Neodiprion lecontei: one gene and its partners. The protein of the gene in region 3 purifies or fractionates together with the protein of the main gene of each other region. This does not show direct contact. Links are inferred from orthologs where the notes say so. Each region holds a gene or a part of one and is shown on either strand. Other genes may lie near its edges.

Region 1 (5,177 bases), on a different chromosome or scaffold from region 3:
TGATAGTTAAAATCGTGAAGCATCGATCAATAGTGGGCTGAACAACGATGTTTTAGGTACGAAGTATTCGTTTGCGTCGTTAAAAAGATAGACAGCGAATCTTTTTTGGCTTTTGCGGGGATCGGACCTTATCACGTTAGCGAGAGCCCCGAAAAGGCCGTCGACGAAACTGCGGTTTACTTTCCGGCTCCAGGTCTCGTTGAAGAAGTGCCGTCTGACGATGAAGAGAACCTTGAAGGGGAAGAGAACCCGGAAGGACAAACAGAGGCCACTGAAACACCCGAAGCGGTCAGTCTAACAATAACACCATTGTTCATTTCCTTTGTTCCAAAATTGTTTATACCTCATTTGAAATGCGTGCTTACAAGTGCGGAATGATGATCTAATGAATTTATTTTTGGCCAGAATCCTGCCGGATCGTAAATAAACGAGCGAAGCTGATGGCGAGATTCTAGGATTTTAAGGTATTTGTTAAGTTTTAACCAGTAATAGAAATAGTTACAAGAATTGATGAATAAAATTGTATCAAAATATTGGAAGGTAAATGAGGAATTAATAATACAGAAAACCGCAGGTTTGTTAGTTTTTAAATACCGACATTTATTTCGCACCATTCCCTTGTACCAAAGTACGACACAATCGATACACAATCAAGGTATTGAAGTATTAAATGAATATCTATACGTAAAAGTCGTGTACTGATGGCGAAAAAAAAACGACGGCGAAGTAGGATGGTTTACTTCTTGTAACCGCAGCTACGCCTGCGTCCCCTGGCACGTTCAAACTTACGTCCCTTTGAGCGTACAAGTGGCTTAGTGTGAGAATGTGGCACTCCGGGTGCTGGCCCGAAGTGTTTGACTGCTTCACGAGCATTCCTGCGTCCCTGCATCAAAACTGTGTTCTTTCCAGTCGGTGAACGTAGCGCCAGTTGATCAAAAGTTATCAACTCTCCGCCAGCCTTCAAGATACGTCCTCGCGCTTTTGCAGTAACACGGAGTGCGCATACCTACCGAAATTGACCGAATTTAATGAGGGCCAAGTAAATGATAGATTATAAATTACAGTTCGGTGTTTTGCGCAATTACAACAGGCAGCTATTCTTTTCGAACGAGATCCTGCAAAAGTCCTGAATAAAGGGATTTTCTGTTAAAATTGTATCGGGTTGACGTAATAGTACAAACTTTGAAGGAAAACTCAGAAACAGAGAATTGAATATTAAATCGCAATAACTAACTTAGAACAATAACAAGAAAAAAGATGAAAAATAATGTCGAAACATGGATTGCCTGCAAATTAACAAATTTATCACCAAGAATTGAATCGAAAAAATATCAGTTTACCGTCAATTTGGGTACTTCCAAAATTCTGGCATCATCAGTGACAGTTCCAACGATGACTGCGATTCGGTTAGCACGACCCTCTTTCTTCATGAACCTGATAATACGAGCCAGTGAAATCGGCGGACGGTTGATTTTGCTCATAAACAAACGCTTGAGGATGATCTTATTGAACTTGGAAGTAGTACGCCTGGCCAAGAAGCGGTACAACTGCGAAAGGATATTGCATGAAACTATCAGCATTGTCCATTTGGTAATATATTGCATTTCAGCAATTCATTTGAAAAAAAAAAACTTACATTTTGTATCGACCTTTATAAGGAACTTTTGACAACAGGAAGCCAAAAGTCTGAATAGGAAAATCGATTCCTTCGTTTTCTCTAGCGAACGTTCAAATTGAACCAGCTTATGAATAAACTGACACAGAGTGCAGTTCGCAACAAGTTATAGATATACTTTTTTGTAATAATTGACATCACAATGGTGAAATTTAATTTTTTCAAACATCGGATCAGATAATATTTAATTTACCATCAACGCTGCAAGCAAATACGAAATGATACATCTCTCATTTTTCAAATAACATCAGGTCTCTTTCCAATAGAAATCTGCTATATGTGTACATCTTTTTACTGTTATAACCTTTATTATCACATGCAATTATGATAGTAATCAATTTATTACACTTACTCAACAAGAAATGATAATTTTCTTTCTTTCTTTACTTGTCTTTTGGGTTTCATCAAATGTGATAATTACCACATTAAACGTAGTAAAACTTTAGAATATAAGCGGTAGTAATACATCGCAGTCAAATCACGGTTGTCAGGACCTACTATCTTATATGAAGTCAGATATAACATAGTCACGGTGTTGCGACCACCTAAGATAATGCGAAACATCAAAAATGTGGAAACAAACCGGAAAACAGCTCGACAGAGTGGAACATAACAACCACACAACTGCTGAAGGTTAGTTTGCAAAAAAAATATAGAATTTTCTGACAGACAAATCGGATATCATATTGGCGTTGGCACGCAATCGATAAATAAGTTTGTTCACGGAAAATTGTAGAAATGTGCAATTCTTGAATTGGATCGCTTCATAAATTGGTGTTGAACACGTGTTTTCGGCAAGGAATAAACAGCCGTGAAACGGTCAACCAATTAAAACTTAACCTAACCTAGCACAGCTTGAAAGCTGAAAGATCTTATGTAAAAAATCCTATCAGACTTGAAAATTTCGAAGTTTGGAAGTGTTTTTGAATTGATGCAGGCAAATAATGAGGAGAAGTGAAATGTTCAAGCAAATGAAAGAATAAATACCTTGACGAGAAGCCTGAGATACACGTCCTGCGACTTGGGCTCGGTTCGCCGAACCTTACGGTCATGTTTATGGTTGATGTCGATACCCTATGCAGAAAATCCATTTTATTAATACACCTCCTACAGGATCACTTTATGCACAAGTCATCATTATCCCGTATTTAACAGATGCCAAGGGATTACGTGGAGCGTACAAAATATGTTCACCATCTTACCATTTTGACACACCGGAAAAAGAAACTGACGCCGATTAACGTGAACGGCGATGAAAGAGAGAGTGGAACAGATGGCAGCACTGCTGGCTGTTGACTCTTTCCGGTCAATCTTGAACGCAGCCGCGAGTCGCGAGAATTCGAAATTACACCACTTATCCGTACTTATCGGATTTTTCTCAAAACCGTATACTGCATAGGGTAAGGTATTTATTTTATCCTGCCGTGTTTTTAAAGCGAATAAAATTCCACAACGGAGAACATGTTTGAACTGTGTATTCTGTTATCAGTATTAGGCATTTTTATAACAAATATTTAAAGTATTGAAACGATCAAATTTACGAACGCGCGACACTTTTTTTTAACTTTGCAGTTTCATGCGCTGTATGCAATGGGAGGCGTTACCTTCATTTCACCATTCTATTAGAATTGTAGATTTGTGAAATCCGTATTTACATTATATTTGCATTTTACAAGGTTATCATAATTTCTCAACGGCAAAACTAGAAGCTTCCAAAACCTGGTTGAACTAATCACAGTTCCAACATGTGACTTTATTTTATAAAAATGTTTAATGGTCCGTTACGGACATTGTCGGTAACTGAATAACTTGCACTGTCTGAATTATATCCAAAATTATAGTATCGAATCAATTTTCATTCGTAGATATATCGATTTATTGAAGTGATTGAAAGAAATACATCATCACTCACAATCGGCGCAGAAGTCTGCACACCTAAAAATTCTATAATTCAATATATTAATCATTATTTCAATACGAAAAGTGTAAGCACTTATAGGTCGGTAACAGTACAAAATTTTCGTACCAAAGTTTCCCGCCCCATAACCTCACCAATGAAAAATGTTTCAACGGAGTGTAACTAGGTGGCATCACAATTCTAAACCAACTTGGAACTCTGTGACAAGCATTTCCCCCTCATGACAGCATGCTTTCAGCAACGAGCGTTGTGACAAGTTTTCCGACAAGCACTTATGCCGCGGTCGGTGAATCGGTGCATTCGCATTGCTGATAATTAGCATAAACACTTAGAAAGGCAAGTGGGTAGTGGGGAACCTCCATGCACACCTGCTCGTTGTACGCAGCCGTACGGCGCCGGAGTGGCGAAGGGCTCCGAGGGTCGCCGGCGGCGGGGGGGTGGGGGGGGGGGGGCATGAGACTATAGACGGTATCGAGACCAACTTCAAGAGATACGAGCGACCCGGCGATCAGTGCGTAGGATCCCGTTAGCCGTGTAACGAGGTGTTGCTGTCGCAGTGCAGCACACGAGGCGGGCCCCGCGCAATCGACTGACTGGTTTCCGAGTCGAAAAAAGGACGTGTTAATAGTAAACAAACGAATAACAGAAGGCGGTTGTTTTTCGAGTGGACGATTTTATAAAGTATTATTATACAGCGCGATATTCGCGGCTTCCTAATCTTTGTCGCCGACTGTAATTCGAGCTGGGTTTGTTGCGAAAACAACGACGTGCTGTCCGGGTGAAGGAACTTCTGAACACTTTGGCTGTCGGGGGTTAAATCATGACAGAGTTGGTTGTCACTTGCCACCTGAGCAACGGACAACTATGAAGCGTGGGGTATTTCGCCACTCGCTGCTGCATCCTATCGACGCGAATGTGCAGGTGCCGTATATACGCACACTATTGAGGATTACGGCGTGAAACGAGGTTCGAGGCCTACCGATTATTGCCTCAATCTTATTTTGCAAAAGGCGGTTTAATCTTATCGTGAATTCTCCTCGGCGTGCAAATGCTATGCGGATTTATTATCCATCGCGCCGTATTCTAACCGTTTATCTGATATAAACACTGGTTCGATTTTTTTTTCGTTGATATTTTCGCAATGTGTGTGCGCGTGTTCGTCAGTTTCTCTGTATGCAATAATGGAGTAAAGTTTCATTCGCACAAGTAACGATATCATTGTTAATAAAGCAAGTAACGAGATTTCGTTGAGATGACAGATGCCATTGAGGAGTAAAACAAAAGACAACGGAACATCTGAACGAGAACTCGGCCGGTAACTCGAGTTTGAAACGGCGCGACGTTGGCAATTGTTCTTAATTAAATAAGATTAATTGTAATGGAAGGGAATGGCGAGGCGCTCCGGGCAGATCCGGTGCTCGAGGAAACATTCTACATAACTTCGAAGAAGAACACGTTCTACCGAGTCAAGCTTACCGAGAAGGGTCTCAGCCTTCAAAAGGAGACCAACGGATCCACCAAGACTGAGACGATCGCGTTGAGCGATATTATCGGGTGCAGATGCATGCGGTCGAAGAAGCGAAA
Region 2 (5,348 bases), on a different chromosome or scaffold from region 3:
AAACAGACATAAGAAAAATAGAATTTATTAATCTGAATACTTTGAAGTTAGGATTTTTGGGAATGGTCGGGGCATCAATTAATTCATTGCTACATTGGTCTATGTGATACGTGATATTGTCTCTTACAGTTAAATAGACTGAAAAAAATTAAGTTATCATAAGAAATAGGATTAACCGAGTATGGAAGATTTTTACACATTTTACGAGGTGTTGTCGAGACATCCTACATTTCAAAACGACAATGATATTGGCAAATAATTTTCTCTATTTGGAAGATATTTAAAATTCGCAAACCATTACTGATTGAAAATAGGTACAAAGTTCAACCAATAAAAGCTGGAATTAGTAGACTAAGAGGTTGAAAATAAAATAGTTCTGTTGCTAGTTGTAAGGATTAGAACTTAATGCGAGCAAAGATACGAGGCAAAGTGATTTTGGTTTCTTGTTGAATGAAAGGTCAAGATATAGGCAAAACCTACTTTTTATCATAGCACTTTTGTTAAATTGACGTAATATTACAACTTGTCGGAATTGATTAATGACGCATGGAGAGAAAAGTTCGAAGAAAAGGGAAGGACACGAAAATCAATGAGCTGCAATTTCTAATCCAGTTATGATTGTGTTAGAAAGGCAGCGAACAAAAGAGACGTGAATACACGGAGTCCGCTGACAAGTGTTGAGGTTATGTGTCAACCCAATGTTATTTACTCATGTTTATGATTAGTCGATTAGAATACGATTTCTGTACGTCATCTACTCGAAAGGAAGAAGATAATTGCATATATTTGATAATCGAGATATTTATCACCTTTGATTCCTGCCATTGTTTGACGCAATCCTTTTTTCAAATTATTGTTCTTGAAATCCTACTCCATTTAGGAATTATCAAGCAGCAAGATGACAGCCAAGCCCTGAATATGGCTGCAAATGACTCACCAGCTCATCCATTTTTTAAGATAACTGAAGATAAAACACTTTTGATTTGAAAACGTGGCCACATTTTTGATATTACGATGTGTTTGGGGTTTCTTATTAACAAGAATTTCTATAGTAAATTGGATCTCCTTTAGCAAGGAGTAATTCCCGCATAATATTATTTGAACACTATTATAATCCGCTGGATTAATTAATAAAATGCTTTTATAGCTCTGTTTGTAGTCGATGTGAATTTAAAAAAAATTGAAGAACAGGCTCCTCATTTCATTTACATGAAACCATCAAAATAAATCTTTGTTTATGGTGAAATTTGCTAGTATAAATTTCATACTCAAAATTTCTCGTATTTTATAGTTCTCAGATATCGGCAATTTCAAATTATAGTTATGTCAAGATTTAAGATTTTCTTGAATTTTGAATGGACGTCGGAAAGCCTCAGATTAGAATAATTTTTCGATCTATGTTCAAATTTCCAGCATTTCGATAAATCGCATCAGGTTTTACTGCAGATGTATGAGAACTGTTGAAGCTGTACCCAGTTTTCCAATATACAATAAATATGACCTGAATGGGTGCGTTTGTTTAGCTTCCCAACTAATACTTATAAAAAACGAAGCATTTAAATGACGGGTCGTTTATAAAACAACAATTGTAACCTAATGATCGTTTATGTACACACTTTACATATATACATAATACTTAGAGCATGTGTATGTATATAACACAGATACAATATGCTCATTGCTCTAACAATAAGGTATAAAATGACGTGCGGCATCAGTAACGACTGGTAATGACACTGAACTGCGTGGCTGTGACACGAAACGAGTTATAGCCAATGACTAATGATTTTTTTTTCTGTCCGCTAAGAAATTTAACGAAAGTCAACGAATGACTGATTACCGCCAGTAATTACCGCGAATTCGGTTTGCAGTCATTCCACGTATGAGACATAATAAATATGAATTTTTCTGAAGTGCTCCGGTGATTATTTGCACTGTTTTTCAGATTGTTCTATTTTTGATCAAGCACGCGTATAGGCAGATGTGTGCTTATTAAAGGTGGATATTACACGACTTATAAGATAAACCTATTAATCATATTCATCGGTTTTCAACCTCTCATGAACAGAATTACTCCGAATATGCAATATTCGATTACCGAATACTATGAAAAATGTTTAATCACAGTTTCTGAATAATCAGTTCGGGATTTCACCGGAGTAAAACAAATCCAAAAATTGCAATTGCGTTATAAAACTTGATGAAAGTTATATGACTGTGCAGAATCGAATATTGGAACAATTTGAGATGGGTTCGCGAACGCGAATAAGCGGCCATGACAGATGTGAGTGGAGGATGTTCATTGGGTTAGCTGGCTGTCTGTGACTCGTGTTAGTTGCGAAGGGGGATCGTGATTGTAACGTTTGCATTTTTTTCCCAAGTTTATTAAAAAAAAATAAGATATGAGTGATCCTAAGAGGTAAGCGTATTGAATAATACAATGGTATTAAGTCCGGTTTCAGCAGGTCGTATTTTCGATAATATGTACACGATATCATCCGATCGGTTACTATTTTTTCCAATACCCTCAATTCACGGCCTCTACGCTTCCAAATTTTACGTTGTCATCATGTCGACGCCGACTCAAGTTTAACGAATTTCTTATACTTTCTATTCTCCCAATTCGCCCGGCTCTTTGTAAAGGTATTCATTATTTCACAATACGGATTAAATTTTGGCTTATTTTCGTGCTGTTTTATACCCATTTATCTTATTTACACCTGCGGACCGTGCGGTCATGGCCGCACAGCAGGCGTAACATGACAAAGGATTTTTCGATGAAACAAAAATTTGACGTGACAAAAAATTAAGCTCAAGTGGACAGAGACTAACTAGGAAGTCATTAATACAGTTTTGGAATTCCTACGTATTTCTCATTGTCAAATTGCTCGTATATTCAATCCTGTTTCACAGTCATTATTGTTATTATTATTCCTGTTAATATTACTGTTATAATAACCTACGTTATCACAATTGCTGCAATTACTACTCGACGATCACTTTGATCATTTATTATGATAGTTAACATTTTTCAACCTTTCTGCAATTTGTCCTTAAAGGATGTATTGTATATTCACGTAGGAATAACTTTTTATTTAGTATCAAAATACCTAGAATCTTGTCTGTATATACTTGCCTTATTTCGTTTCCTACCCTGAAAGTAGAAAAGAAAAATAGACTCATATTGAATTTTTTTCTATTATCGCTCTTGGTCCCAAAATTTTTTATCTGACCTTATACTTATCTGTGTTACCATTGTGTGAGTCTCATCTCGATGATGACATGTTGTATTGAAAGTAATCAATTTTGAGTCCACTTTTTAGTCATTCTAAAATAAATTAAATTCTAAAGATCACAGAGCATCTGTTTCTCAAAACCTGTTAAAACTCGCCGATTTTGTAGTATGTTATTTAAAGTTTTTTTTTATGGCTTCAGCTATTTTCCCCACTTCTGACGCACTGATCGGAAGAAAAATCATTTCTATTTTAAACTCCATGACATGCATAAAGTATTTACTTTCAATTGCGCGATGGGATTGGAAATGTGTATTACTGATTGCTATATCTTACTGTAATTTATATTAATCATTAGAATTATTTTAGAACAATGTGCTCAAGGTAGAGAAATGAAATTCAGTTTCAAAAACTTAGAACCTATTAGGAATACAATCTCTTCATAACGGGCAGACACAAATTAAATAATAAATATACACATAATGAAATTTGATTGTAGACAAAAGTCTTAGAGTATTGAAGTATCTTGAGAATATAGTCAGTATTATGATCGGGACACCTTTCACATATTGCCATTTTTTATTCCAACTTCCAATTACGTCTGACTGTTGAAAACAATATTTGTAAAGTACGATAATATACCGAGCAATACTAAACAATCTACAAAGAATTGGCAATATTTACTTAATTTTTTACCTTACTATTATTCTAGTGGAGATGATCTCGCGACTGCGATTTTGCGCAAGAAGGACAGGCCAAACAGGCTTCTGGTGGCAGAGGCGATCAATGATGACAATTCAGTCGTCGGCCTCTCGCAGGAAAAAATGGATGAGCTACAATTGTTTCGCGGTGACACCGTACTTTTGAAAGGAAAAAGGCGCAAGGAAACCGTGTGCATCGTACTATCAGACGACACATGTCCAGATGAGAAGATACATATGAACCGTGTCGTCAGAAACAATCTGCGTGTCAGACTTAGCGACGTTGTATCCGTTCAAGCTTGCCCGGATGTTAAATATGGCAAACGTATCCATGTTCTACCCATGGACGACACTGTCGAAGGTCTTACTGGGTGAGATATTTGAAAACTTGTATACACACTTATTGGTCTGTTGGCATTCTTACTAACACAAATAATTTTTTCTTGCCAGAAATTTGTTCGAGGTGTATTTGAAACCATACTTCCTTGAGGCATATCGCCCAATCCATAAAGATGACAACTTCATCGTACGCGGAGGAATGCGCGCTGTAGAATTTAAAGTAGTTGAGACTGATCCAGGCCCGTATTGTATCGTTGCTCCAGATACAGTGATACATTGCGAGGGAGATCCAATCAAGCGAGAGGTGTGTACTTGATTTATAATTTGATTATAATGTTTTTATTGCAGATAAATTTAACTAGCTAAAGCATAATTCAATGTGTAAACATCAATGGCTACATAAAGCACTTTCTACACCCGAGTGACTTAACTTTCAATCGTCCAAGATGTTAATATTCGGTGTTAGTGCATCTTACAATGCTTCCAATTATTCTCCGTGCGCTGTCAATTCGCAGGAAGAAGAGGAAGCTCTCAATGCTGTTGGCTATGACGATATTGGTGGTGTTCGCAAGCAGTTGGCTCAAATTAAAGAAATGGTAGAGCTACCACTGCGGCACCCGTCCCTCTTCAAAGCAATCGGAGTCAAACCACCACGCGGTATATTGCTCTATGGACCACCGGGAACAGGAAAAACCCTCATTGCACGTGCAGTTGCAAACGAAACTGGCGCCTTTTTCTTCCTTATTAATGGTAATCATATTGCGAATTGGTTTATAAATGCTTTGATATAACTCTCAGCACTATTCTATGAGCATCTTTGAATGGGATTTAATGTTCAAGTCACATGCATAAAATTAAACCTTATATTCTCATATCGATAGGACCTGAGATTATGAGCAAACTTGCTGGTGAGTCCGAGAGCAATTTGCGAAAGGCGTTTGAAGAGGCTGAGAAAAATTCACCAGCCATCATATTTATCGATGAATTGGATGCTATCGCTCCCAAGCGTGAAAAGGTTAGTAAAATACTGTATTCAAACGTGATATGGACAGTTAGTGACTTTGCTCTTTTCCCT
Region 3 (5,580 bases):
CGCTCTCTTTGTGCAATGCTTTATAAACGGAACCATAAGATCTGAAACAAACATTGAGCCATATCTTAAAAGACATCCAAATTATACTAAATTAGTATGGCACACTAATAATTAGATTACTAAGTAGAATTCTCTCAAAGTAACGCTCACCCTTCACCAAGCTTGCAGATTATGTCAAAAACCTCTTCGGGTTGTCGTGTCAAGCTTTCCTCGGATAACTTTTTCAACTCACTGTAAAGGTAGAAGGAATTTTTTAGCGTCTGTTCAAAATTTTAATCTCTCTGATTGTAAGATGGCTTTGTCATATTGTTTCTAAAAATAAAGTAATCCAATGTCATGTTTGACAGACATAGAGGTTGGACTTAAATCAAAGGTGGTTCATTAGAGATTGGAATGACGTATTGTAAATATTTGACAAGATTTGCGTACATACTATCTGTTTGCAAAACCTGAGAAGTAAAATAAAGATTGACCCAAAGGCAAGTTTGGAGTGGGAATATATTTTTCCGTTAGTTCATTCCTTGAGAGAATGGACCTTGGAGTCAGACTAGACATGTATGAAATTCATTAATGCAACTTAATCGGTTGAAGAACATAACAAATATATTGTGAACGGAGTAAGCAATGAAGAGTAGTTTACAGTGACAAAGGTTAACAAAGAAAGAAAACAATTTTAGGTTTTCGATAGTACTGTTATTGCTAATTTGTAAATATGTAATTTTCGAGTGAAATGGAGATTGTTTGGAATAATTTACAGCTTAACTGTCTTTCTAATTATTGTTTTGAATCGTCGGCATCATTTCGAAAATTGGAACTATTTTGACGCATACATATAAGGGTAGGATTCATTCGGGTCCAGATAAAAAAAAGGAAAACAATTAAATAAATATACATATATACCTTTTAGAAGACATCTTCGTTTTTACGTCAGTCTAATATTAACTTGGATAAAAAAAAAAGAACACACATTCACTACGCAAATAACGAACTAATACGTCAAAAATACACTATACGTTGATAATAAAATCATATTCAATTCAAATAACTAATATTACATTTTTTGACAATAAAATTAATTTTAACCACAACTGAAATATCGAAACCCTTGATCAAGACGTCCATAGACTTTCAACTCTTATTTGTCTGTAACCGAAGCAAATATATATTTATTGACTAGCTGTATAGTTAGACTGCCTTAGTTCATTATAACTCCGACTGATGTCAGAGTGAGGGGCCGAATAATTACTTCAGTCAAAGTTTCAAACGTTTCAAGCGTTTCAATCGAGCATTTTACAGTCGAAAGGTCTTTACAACTCATTATCTTTAATCACAGCTACCGTATGAAGGAAAATTAATCAATTATGAAACACATTAATCATCGATATTCTTGCAAGTAACAATCGGAGACTTTTTATCTGTGCCTAAATAAGAGTGGCTTTTCACACGGTATTATTCTCATCCTGAATAACGGTACAGAGGATAGCCTACGAGGGAAGAGAAAGAAGAAAAACAGAATTACGATGCCAATTAAGACCGATGTTACCGTGATGCAAAAATCGGTTACGTCTGATCATATTCTATTTCTCCCTAGATGCCCTGTTCGATTTCAACGTTCACGGATATATCTCCAAATATCAAAGGCCACGTATCTCGAAAACGAAAAAATACTTAATAGCCTTATTTTATACACAGTTCTGAACAAAAACAGTCCTAGACATTTTTCATTTGACGCAGAAATAAAGAAATGGCCCAGATTCTACGAAATCGAACAGTCAAATCGTAGAATTCATACCATATATTTCTTTATTTCTGCATCAAATGAAAATGTATTGGAGTGTTTTTGTTCGAAATAGCGTACAAAATAGGGCTGTTAATCCTTCGTTCGTGTGTGAGATAGGTGGACTTTGATATTTAGATCAGAACCTATGTTCAACTCGTCAGCTTTCGAACATTGTAATTGTTGCAAACAAGCGTTCGATTATCTCTCTTCCAAATCATGGATTTTCGAAACTCCCGCGTCTACGAGTCCGAAGTGAGCGGTGTATCGTTTAACGGGCAGGCTAGCAGGCGAGCACGTAAGCCTCTCGTCGGAAATCCAAACTACTCTCGGCGAGCCAGCCGTGATCAGTGTGCGTGCGGTGCTCGTAGAGTATGGCGGTAGGGTTTAGAGGAGGTAGCGTTGTCGGGGCGATCGCGATCCATCGTATGTGCCGCGTAGGAATTAGTGACCTGCAGCAGGAGGGTTGTAACAAGCAAGTGTGTATTCCCTGAATGATAAAACGGGGACCGTTCCTAGCGTTGTGCGGTTGACAAAGAAAAGTTGAATCGTGAAGTAAGCGGTTCAATCGGACTACAGTTGTATCAAGACATCTGAACGATGTTCACAGTTCCGCTGGATCGATAACAACAATGGAATTACTTGTTATCGCGTAAGAAAGAGAATGTGCGTGCGCGCGCTGCCGCTGCTCCTGGTGCTGCTGCTGCTACCCATCGTCGTCGATTCCTCCGCGGTCACCACACTACAATCACGCTAGCAACGCCGCTACCTCCACCTCCTCACCAACACGACGATAGATCCTTATGTACCTACCCACCTACGTACGTACATATATTCCCCTCCACCTAAAATCTTGAAGAAAAAGCAACAGGCCAGGCCAGGCCACACGCCTTGCCTGGGCACGGCGTTTCAGCGACGCGGCGCATAGTTAAGATCCAGACTGGTGTCTGTCTCTTCTTGTGCGCGGCACTGTGTCTTGATCGGTCGGACAGTCGGTCGGTCGGTCGGTCGGTCCTCCGGTCGGAGACGGTCGTCTCTTGTTTTGCCCCTCTTCCTCCGCCTAGCCTCTTTATGCGTAGCAGTAGTATTAGTAATAGACGTAGTTTAATTATTCACCGGTGTATCAACAGATCTAGTGCATCGTTCCTCGTCTCCCTCGGAGTTCGTCCTGATTTAAACAACTATCGCAAAGTATCGCCGCTGTCGAGGAACCAGGGAGAGCGAGCTGAAGTGTCGGGTGTTTATCGAAGTGCCTTTTTAAAACACAGTGCCGTGGCTAAATAACGTACATCATATACACAACCGTAGATACATACGTATACAAATATATATTATATATACATATACACAAACACACTCACACCTATCTGTATACACATATTTTACAAATACTATATTTCCCCGTGTATGCGTGTTTATACGTGCACACGCGCGCCTATGTACGTACGTATGCATATGCCGTGTTGTTATTATTATTACATGTATGCACAACCGTGTGTGCCTTGTGTGTTGAATAAATAGTTGAAGACGAAAATAGTAGTGTACCACACATACACGTTAACTAGAGATGGAGCGATAGAGAGAGAGAGAGCGTTGACTGAAGACTATAAAGACAGTACCCCTGGGTAAATTTTTGTGTATCAGTTTTCGGCGGGCAAGTGGGCCCAGGTGGGCCTGGGAGCGTAGGAGGTTTCTGCTCTATCGACTCTACCTAACGGACTTGTACCGACATTCGTAGCAGCCAAGGTAGTGTCGGTATGGAAGCTTGAAATTGAGACGGTACGAAGTGAGTACGTAAAACTACGTACCGATTGTAAATGTTAGTACCATGTCTTTATCGACACAGTCATTATTTTATTCCAATAATACGGATATGCCTTTTCAATGCGACATAATTTTCCTAAAATCGCTTGCCCTTATTTCTCTGTATTCGACCAAAATGTCTTGCAGAATTAAATACATTGAATTAATTGGAGACATGAAAAATTTTCATAATTATCGAAATAATTATATTTGTTAATCATTATATAAGAACAACAGTTTCGATTCCTGGCTCCGTCGTTAATTTTTCAAATCACTAAAAATTTTCGAATTTACATTCTCTAGCATTTTTCTTCTCGCTAAAATAGCTATATGACGTATTTTCATATCACTTCATAGACGGCCGGGACCGTCTTACGTGGCTTTATAATTGTGCTTTTTGAGACGAGTTTCATAATATATACTTATTATTAGTTCCTTATTCATCTGAATTGTTGATATAAAAGATCATGCAATAAGTTGAGACGTAAATACTTGAAACTTATAATTCTGATTACTGTTTTGTATATTGATGACGTACGTTGTGTTGTCAGTTATTAGCTACTAGTTTGCTCACGAGTATTTCCAGGGGATGCCACGGGGAGGCCAACTGACATTACCCCCCATAGGTCGATCAGCTCGATCATTCCCGCGAGGAGACGCGAAACCGCGACTTGGTCGATCAGAAAAAATAGCCGAAATTCGAAATCAGGTTTGGGGGGGGGATTTATATTTTCTATTATAATTAATAACTCCTATCAATGTAACTAATTCAGATTTTAAATCGCGATTATCTCGGGAACGGTGATAGATACGGCAAAACTAACGAAATTTTGGAGGTTTCCTAGAAGGGAACTTGAATCGGGCAGGTAATTAGTCCGTTCTAAGGACTTCCCTGGATTCTTATTTTTTAATTTTAATTTGATTCTAATTTTCGAATCTAAAATCGCGAATATCTCGAGAACGGTGTTACGTGGGGGTGAAAGTGTACCGAGCGGTGGTAATTAATGATTAATGAATAATCAAAGATGCTCCCACGTAACGACAATGAATAAAAATTAAAACTAAGAAAGACCTACCTCTCGATAAGCCAGTAATTTGTAGGATCGTGTGGCTATAGTCCTGTACAGGTCTGTGAGGCTTGTTCAAATTGTTGAGGCTAATTTATAATAATGAAAATGGGAAAAGGTCGTTTAAAATAAATGGTTTGAAATGATTTAACTGGTAAAAGATAAAGTATATTCTGCAACGATTCGGTGATTGAAATGTTTGGTAACAATGAATGACGATAATGACGTAGAAGCTGAAAGTAACAATTTATAAAGTGTTTGAGTTTATACAACAATCCACGCCGACGGACGAATTTATATTAAAAATGCAGAGAAGCTGCAGAATTACTAATTTTGACCGTTTGCGTGTTTGAGCAAATCGTGTGTTATTCGATTCTAAATAATATTATTATTTGATACCAAGAACATCTATCCTGAACGATGCTTATAACTAGCTGGTCGTGATTATTTGATATCGTATCTCTCTTTTTTATAGATTATCTTAAATTTAAATTAACATGCAGTTGGTACATAGTTTATAATGATTATAAAGTGGGGCCGAGTTGAGGACTGGAGAATAACTCTCTGAATCCCCAAGGGAATTGTCTATAGCTGGACGCCAATTTTTCGTGCTGTTATTTCGAATTGTGTTCAAATCTTGGAAACAATACGTTTGATCTAATTGGGGTTAGTGAAGCTAGCCACCAACTCTAGTCTTATTTTCAAATGGATATTATAATAGTAACTTTTAATCAGAAAGGTGAAAACAAGAATTCGTTCGATGTTGGAGATTAGCACTCGGATTGTTTTATCTTTCGATGTGTTGTTGTGGTGACGAGATTCGAGAGCCGTCGGATCGTGTCGGTCTGCGTCAGTAGTATTCTGGATATTATCTCATTTTTTTCTAATATACTGTAGCATTTTTAACGTTAATTTGGAATGAAAGGAATTCGA
Region 4 (5,306 bases), on a different chromosome or scaffold from region 3:
TTCCCTATTTATATCTTTATTTTGGAACGAAAATAAATCCAGCAAGGTATATTTACCTGCAATCTCACCTCCGCCTAAATCGTTGAGGATTTTTCTGTAAGATGGTCTTCTGGTTAGAATATCCCTCCTCTTTTTTGGGGATTCCTCGTCCGAAAAGCTGTCATCACTTCCAGTTTCGACAACCTTGAATGAGTGATAACAGGTATGAGAAAACAATACTCGATGATTCAATTGATTGGGAAAAAATTATTACTCGTTTATAGAATAAGTGAAGATCATATGTTACAAATGCTGACATACCTGTAAAGTTTGTAGGCTGCCTTGCGTCGTTTGTATGACTGAATTGGGCTTACTGACGAGAATGACGTTTGCCTTGGAAAGAGCAACCGGCTGGATGTTTGTAGCAGTCTGAATAACGGACTGCTGGTTTGGCTGTATCACCGATTGTACCTGCAAATGGCGATAAAGAAATAAATGTCACCAGAAGTATCATCAATGAGGTAGTAGCTCAAGACATTAATTGATTACAGGCGAGCAATTCAACGAAAATAATCTATCACAATAAAACCTGTACAGTGAGAAAAGAGAACTATTAGATTCATCAACTAATTTTGTACTTTTCGATAAATACATTTGGCAATGTATAAGTAAACGAAACAAGCGAGAGACACAAGTTTTATAATACATTGGAAAAACTGTGTATGGGCGATATACTTTTTTAAGGAGGATATTTTCGAGTGAATTTTTTGTATCTCACCGGCATTTCGAAATACAACTGATGTACTGAATAGAATTAGAAAAAGAAACATGCCACGTAGATATTTCGATGGTATATTTCGAAATGCCATTACTGTAAATTATTTCGGCTAACTTTCAAACTTGAACGACGCAGGTGGTCGCTCAAAAGTGATCTATGTCAGGTGTGCGGATCACCCTTTGAGGTGATGTGATAAGATAATCAGTTTGCTGGAGATTTACATCGTTGCACTGCGTAACAGTAGTAAAACATACATTGAGTAAAACTAAAGTTCAAACTATGATTACTGAGAAAATCAAAAGTCGATTGAATTGAGATATTAGCAATACAATTTATTATGCATTGAAACACATGTTACGTTAACATGAATCGTTGTTGAAGGTATAAACATCAAATATTGATATAACAATGAAAGTGAGAATTGCAAAATAAATAAGAGAATATTATTTTCATCGTGTACTAAAGAGATGAATCATACGCTTACATTCCTTTCTTCAACCTGAATAAAATTAAAGATTTATAAAAAAGTAGTAACAAATAGTGTACAAACATCAAGGGCCAAAACGAACCAGCATTATGCAAAATTATGAAGTAATGTATCTAATACCTACTACTCGTGAAGTACAGTGAAAATATATGAACGTGTAATTATAAAATAACGAAGCAGAGTAAATAACGAATTAGGTATCGCGGTAAACATGCCTTGAGAGTATGAAGATAACAAATAAGTAACCGCAGAGAAAAAAAGAAGGAATTTGGTTTTGATAAATTAATCAATCAGGCATGGATACACAGGAGCGTGTCCTGTATACCTGCGTTGTCCCTGATAAAGGAAGCGTCAGTTGCACAATGCTGGTCGAAGCCACCAGATGGTGCTGGGATCTACTCAAAGATTGTACCGATGTTGCTATCGCAGGTGCAGCATCTCCACTCTGAGATCCCTGCGACAACGGGTCAACGGTAGATCCGTTTTCTTCAACCATACTTTCCATAGCCTGGGGACCGCTAGCCCTGAAATTCAATTTACGCTTATTAGTTTCGATCAATTGTGACATAGAAATATATAAGGCTGGACGTCACACAAAACAAATATTTTTCTTACATTACATTCGACGAAATCAATCATAAGCTTCAATATACATGTAGTTGATGTAAAATAAAAAAAAAAAAGAAAAGAAAAAGAAACACGAAAACAAAAGGAAAAGCTGTGAAAATATAATATAATTGTCTTACTACTTTCGATCTTGGAATCTTGAATATATCAACACGGGCGGATGTATAACAAAACTTAAAAACCGCATCCACTTAGATAAGCAGCACACTATCGTCACTGATGTTTGGCAGAAAATATTGACATGTGTAACTTGGTAAAACCAGATTATTTGTGTTGAATGATATATTCTTGTTCTTGTTAAAACAGGGTAATGTAAACTATTAGTAAAAGCTTAAATTATAGTATAATGATTAAAAGACTGAAAAAGAAAGTCCTTCATCATTTGACGACAACAATCAACAGTGTAAATGACATTTGTGCAAGTGTAATTTGCACATATTTTTTAAATGAAGCTGCCATTTAAAGTGAAGTTTTGAAACGTGTGCCTTTTTCCCGCCGCGTAAAATTCCTCCAATGCTACTGCGTCATTTACATCAAAGAGGGCTAAAAATAAATAAATGAAGAATATAAAATGATGTTTATTGAGAATGTTTCTTTTTCATCATTCTTCATCCGCGACGAAGCAATGAGTAAACAATCGCGTGAGATGTGACAAGAGTAATATAAAATCGTAACACACAGCAAAAGGATCGTTTTCTAACGGTCGAGTATAACGACGTGTATCGCGTAGTAGCGGGTATGGTTTTAAAGAATTACATATACAAACATGTATCTCGAGACGCCATATTTTGTACCTTTATACACTGTAGACACTCAACTATCCCTTATTTAAGGCTGTAAAATAAAATGCTAACATCCAATGAGCATTTCGGGTCTATCGCAATAACGGTGGTCCATGCTCGGTTGTTATTATTCTCCAGCTGAGTACTTACCAGTTACGTATTCCTCGTCACCAACTTTGCTGCAATCGGAGTGGGCAAACGGGCAAGTACGTAGCAGCCACGTCAAAACTCCAGTGGCTTCGTCACTGGTGGAGCTCACGACGAGTGAACTTCGCGTCACGATCAAAATGGCGCCTGTATAACTCCGCGCGCGTAATGGCGAATGGTGAATGCCGAACCGCTTGATCACTTTTCTTCTTTATTAATTACGGAATTATGTGCTCGTTAACGAACAACCGTCTTCGAGCAGTAGAATCGAAGATATTATTAGTAATTTATGTCCTTAAAAAAAAAAACCCAGATCATACAATTTCATAATTATCCGTTGATAACCAAGCTTGGCAGAACTACTTTTCTTCGGCGAACGGTAACGCGGGAGTCCAAATTAGCACAATCACCACGCTATTGCTCAATACCGTCGTCTTAGTGTTATTGTTTTAAATGTGCGTTTTCAAGAGCCAACAAATCGAAAATACTCGATGAGAATTCGCAACCGAGAAATATACATCCAATGAGTCAATTATTATGTCATAAATATGGACGGCGTCTACCGAAATATCAAAGAAATCGCAAAGTACTTTCATAGGTCAGTTTACTAAAGAACGCGGATGAGCGCTCGTAAAATTTACAGACATTAATCAGTCTCGGTGCTACCCACCGATCAAAGCGTTTTCAGTAATTTCTATGATTTCTTGTTAATTGTATGCTCTTTAAACGCGATTCTTAGCACATGGGTAAGTATACGTGTTTGTCTACGCGCAGTGACCCTCGTCACCCTCGCCCTCGTCTTCGCATATAACTTACAAATCGTGGTAGGGTTGCGCTGACGTCATCCAATGACGTCATTCTACACTTGTATTACTTTCATATGACCGTGATCACAGCTCGCGAGGCTCACGCATTTTACGGACACGTGTACGCACGCACGCGCGCATTCACGTGTGAATCCTGTCCGTGTGTACAATATACATATTTTGCTTGTTTCCTCGCTACGACGATAATGCCTTTCTTATAAATATCCCAAATCATTTTCCTGCGATAACAAATTGGTGGAAATTTCCACTCGAATATCCATTATAAATAAATGCGCGGGCAGCCACTCCGCACAATCTCGCTTGCGAGTGTTCCACACTATGAGTTCAATTGTAATTATAATAATTGAGGAATTTACTGTTGATTGTCTTTATAATGAACAAAATAAATAAATATTTCAAGCGGTTCTGATCAATATTATATCTTATATACTTGTGTATATTTTTAAACACATTTGTCTTTGTTTACAATATTATTCAGATCCGTTGATTGGCCGCGTTGCCGTAATTAATGCAGTCGGGTTGCGAAAATTTCAATTAATCGAAAAATTGTTTTTGTATAAAATAATTATATTACTGCTAAATATGTTTTAAATAACTACTGTACACACTATTAAAATGGGTCTCGAATGCCACAAACGTAACTCTGCAAGTGGTCTGTAGGACGCAATGACGTCATCGGAAAGTGACTCATGCCGTCTGATGCGGATATGCCTGGTCGTTGTTCACATTCAAAGGTGTAACGAAATATGCGCGATCGAGCGTTTTATTATTTTCTCGTAACACAAGTCCAAACCAATGAATAGAAAAAAATAATTCGTTGATAAGTAAACCTACATTACTATGTTATGAATAAATCGCTGCATATTCGAAAAAAAATACGGAAAATTATATATAAAAATATATCGCTAACAAATATTGTTCAATTTTTGAATATCATTTTTAAACTTTACTTTATAAGAATAAAATTCCATACGTAAACGTATTATTCAATTCGCGTGCTGTGATCATATTTGCTAGGAATTTATTTAATTTCGCTTAAAAGGAGAGTGGAGAAGCGATGACGTAATACAACGAGTCAAACGAGCATATTCATTTTCTTATCGCATTTATTGATACCGAAACGTTACGTAAAATCGTAGACATTTTGATATAAGTACGCTTATTACAAAGCATGGTAATAACGCGAATCCCGAATTCGATCGTAAATGTAATGATCTGATGTAGCAAATGATCATTACTCTCTTAATAAAATATACGCTAGCGATTGTGATTCATTCATGTGGTAATTAATACAACGTTATCTGATTAAAAACCGCATAGCGAAGATAATAAACAATTTTATACAATAGTTAACAAACTCCTTTATTAATTATTTTTTATATCCTTACATCCTTTACGATATTATAATTTCAATCTAATCACAGTTTTGATTAGATAGCATGTAGTTTAAACTTGTTATATTCAGTAACCAGTGAAGTTATTTTAAACGTACTTAGGTAATTTATTCGCGTCGGTTCTCCTTCTGCAGTAGCAGATCACCGACGGGTTTATCTTGTACTAATCCATCTCTGTAAACTGTGTTACCACGGATTATAGTTGCTACTACTTTTCCAAATAATTTCTTTCCCATGTAAGGTGTTAACTGGAAATAATAGTTAGTGTATATTCAATTATGTTAT

Evidence for each region. Proteins that work in one complex are often made in the same cells at the same time.
Region 1: the proteins of transcriptional coactivator yorkie (region 3) and 60S ribosomal protein L18 purify together in Homo sapiens (affinity purification with mass spectrometry, with the first as the bait; 4 studies listed by BioGRID). This does not show direct contact. The link is inferred for Neodiprion lecontei from reciprocal best matches to the Homo sapiens genes YAP1 and RPL18.
Region 2: the proteins of transcriptional coactivator yorkie (region 3) and transitional endoplasmic reticulum ATPase TER94 purify together in Homo sapiens (affinity purification with mass spectrometry, with the first as the bait; 3 studies listed by BioGRID). This does not show direct contact. The link is inferred for Neodiprion lecontei from reciprocal best matches to the Homo sapiens genes YAP1 and VCP.
Region 4: the proteins of transcriptional coactivator yorkie (region 3) and cyclic AMP-responsive element-binding protein 1 purify together in Homo sapiens (affinity purification with western blotting, with the first as the bait; 3 studies listed by BioGRID). This does not show direct contact. The link is inferred for Neodiprion lecontei from reciprocal best matches to the Homo sapiens genes YAP1 and CREB1.

Annotation. Positions count from the first base shown.
Region 1 is NC_060264.1:27,197,214-27,202,390, reverse strand, and holds 60S ribosomal protein L18, read right to left. Parts: upstream 3,026-5,177; 5' UTR 2,881-3,025; coding exon 2,878-2,880; intron 2,750-2,877; coding exon 2,663-2,749; intron 1,548-2,662; coding exon 1,341-1,547; intron 1,007-1,340; coding exon 737-1,006; 3' UTR 580-736; downstream 1-579. Other genes in the region: thioredoxin-like protein 1, read left to right, coding at 57-288, 406-423; sphingosine kinase 1, read left to right, coding at 4,972-5,177.
Region 2 is NC_060264.1:28,581,388-28,586,735, forward strand, and holds the start of transitional endoplasmic reticulum ATPase TER94, read left to right. Parts: upstream 1-2,269; 5' UTR 2,270-2,402; coding exon 2,403-2,419; intron 2,420-3,945; coding exon 3,946-4,305; intron 4,306-4,384; coding exon 4,385-4,577; intron 4,578-4,788; coding exon 4,789-5,023; intron 5,024-5,154; coding exon 5,155-5,288; intron 5,289-5,348. UniProt on the Homo sapiens protein: Necessary for the fragmentation of Golgi stacks during mitosis and for their reassembly after mitosis. Involved in the formation of the transitional endoplasmic reticulum (tER).
Region 3 is NC_060261.1:34,667,189-34,672,768, forward strand, and holds the start of transcriptional coactivator yorkie, read left to right. Parts: upstream 1-2,119; 5' UTR 2,120-3,596; intron 3,597-5,580. Other genes in the region: serine/threonine-protein kinase 3, read right to left, coding at 1-41, 151-231, 434-555. UniProt on the Homo sapiens protein: Transcriptional regulator with dual roles as a coactivator and corepressor. Critical downstream regulatory target in the Hippo signaling pathway, crucial for organ size control and tumor suppression by restricting proliferation and promoting apoptosis.
Region 4 is NC_060264.1:3,829,947-3,835,252, forward strand, and holds the start of cyclic AMP-responsive element-binding protein 1, read right to left. Parts: upstream 3,080-5,306; 5' UTR 2,804-3,079; intron 2,721-2,803; exon of another isoform or gene 2,706-2,720; 5' UTR 2,666-2,705; intron 2,280-2,665; exon of another isoform or gene 1,991-2,279; intron 1,769-1,990; 5' UTR 1,750-1,768; coding exon 1,570-1,749; intron 451-1,569; coding exon 301-450; intron 184-300; coding exon 57-183; intron 1-56. Other genes in the region: allantoinase, read right to left, coding at 5,129-5,269.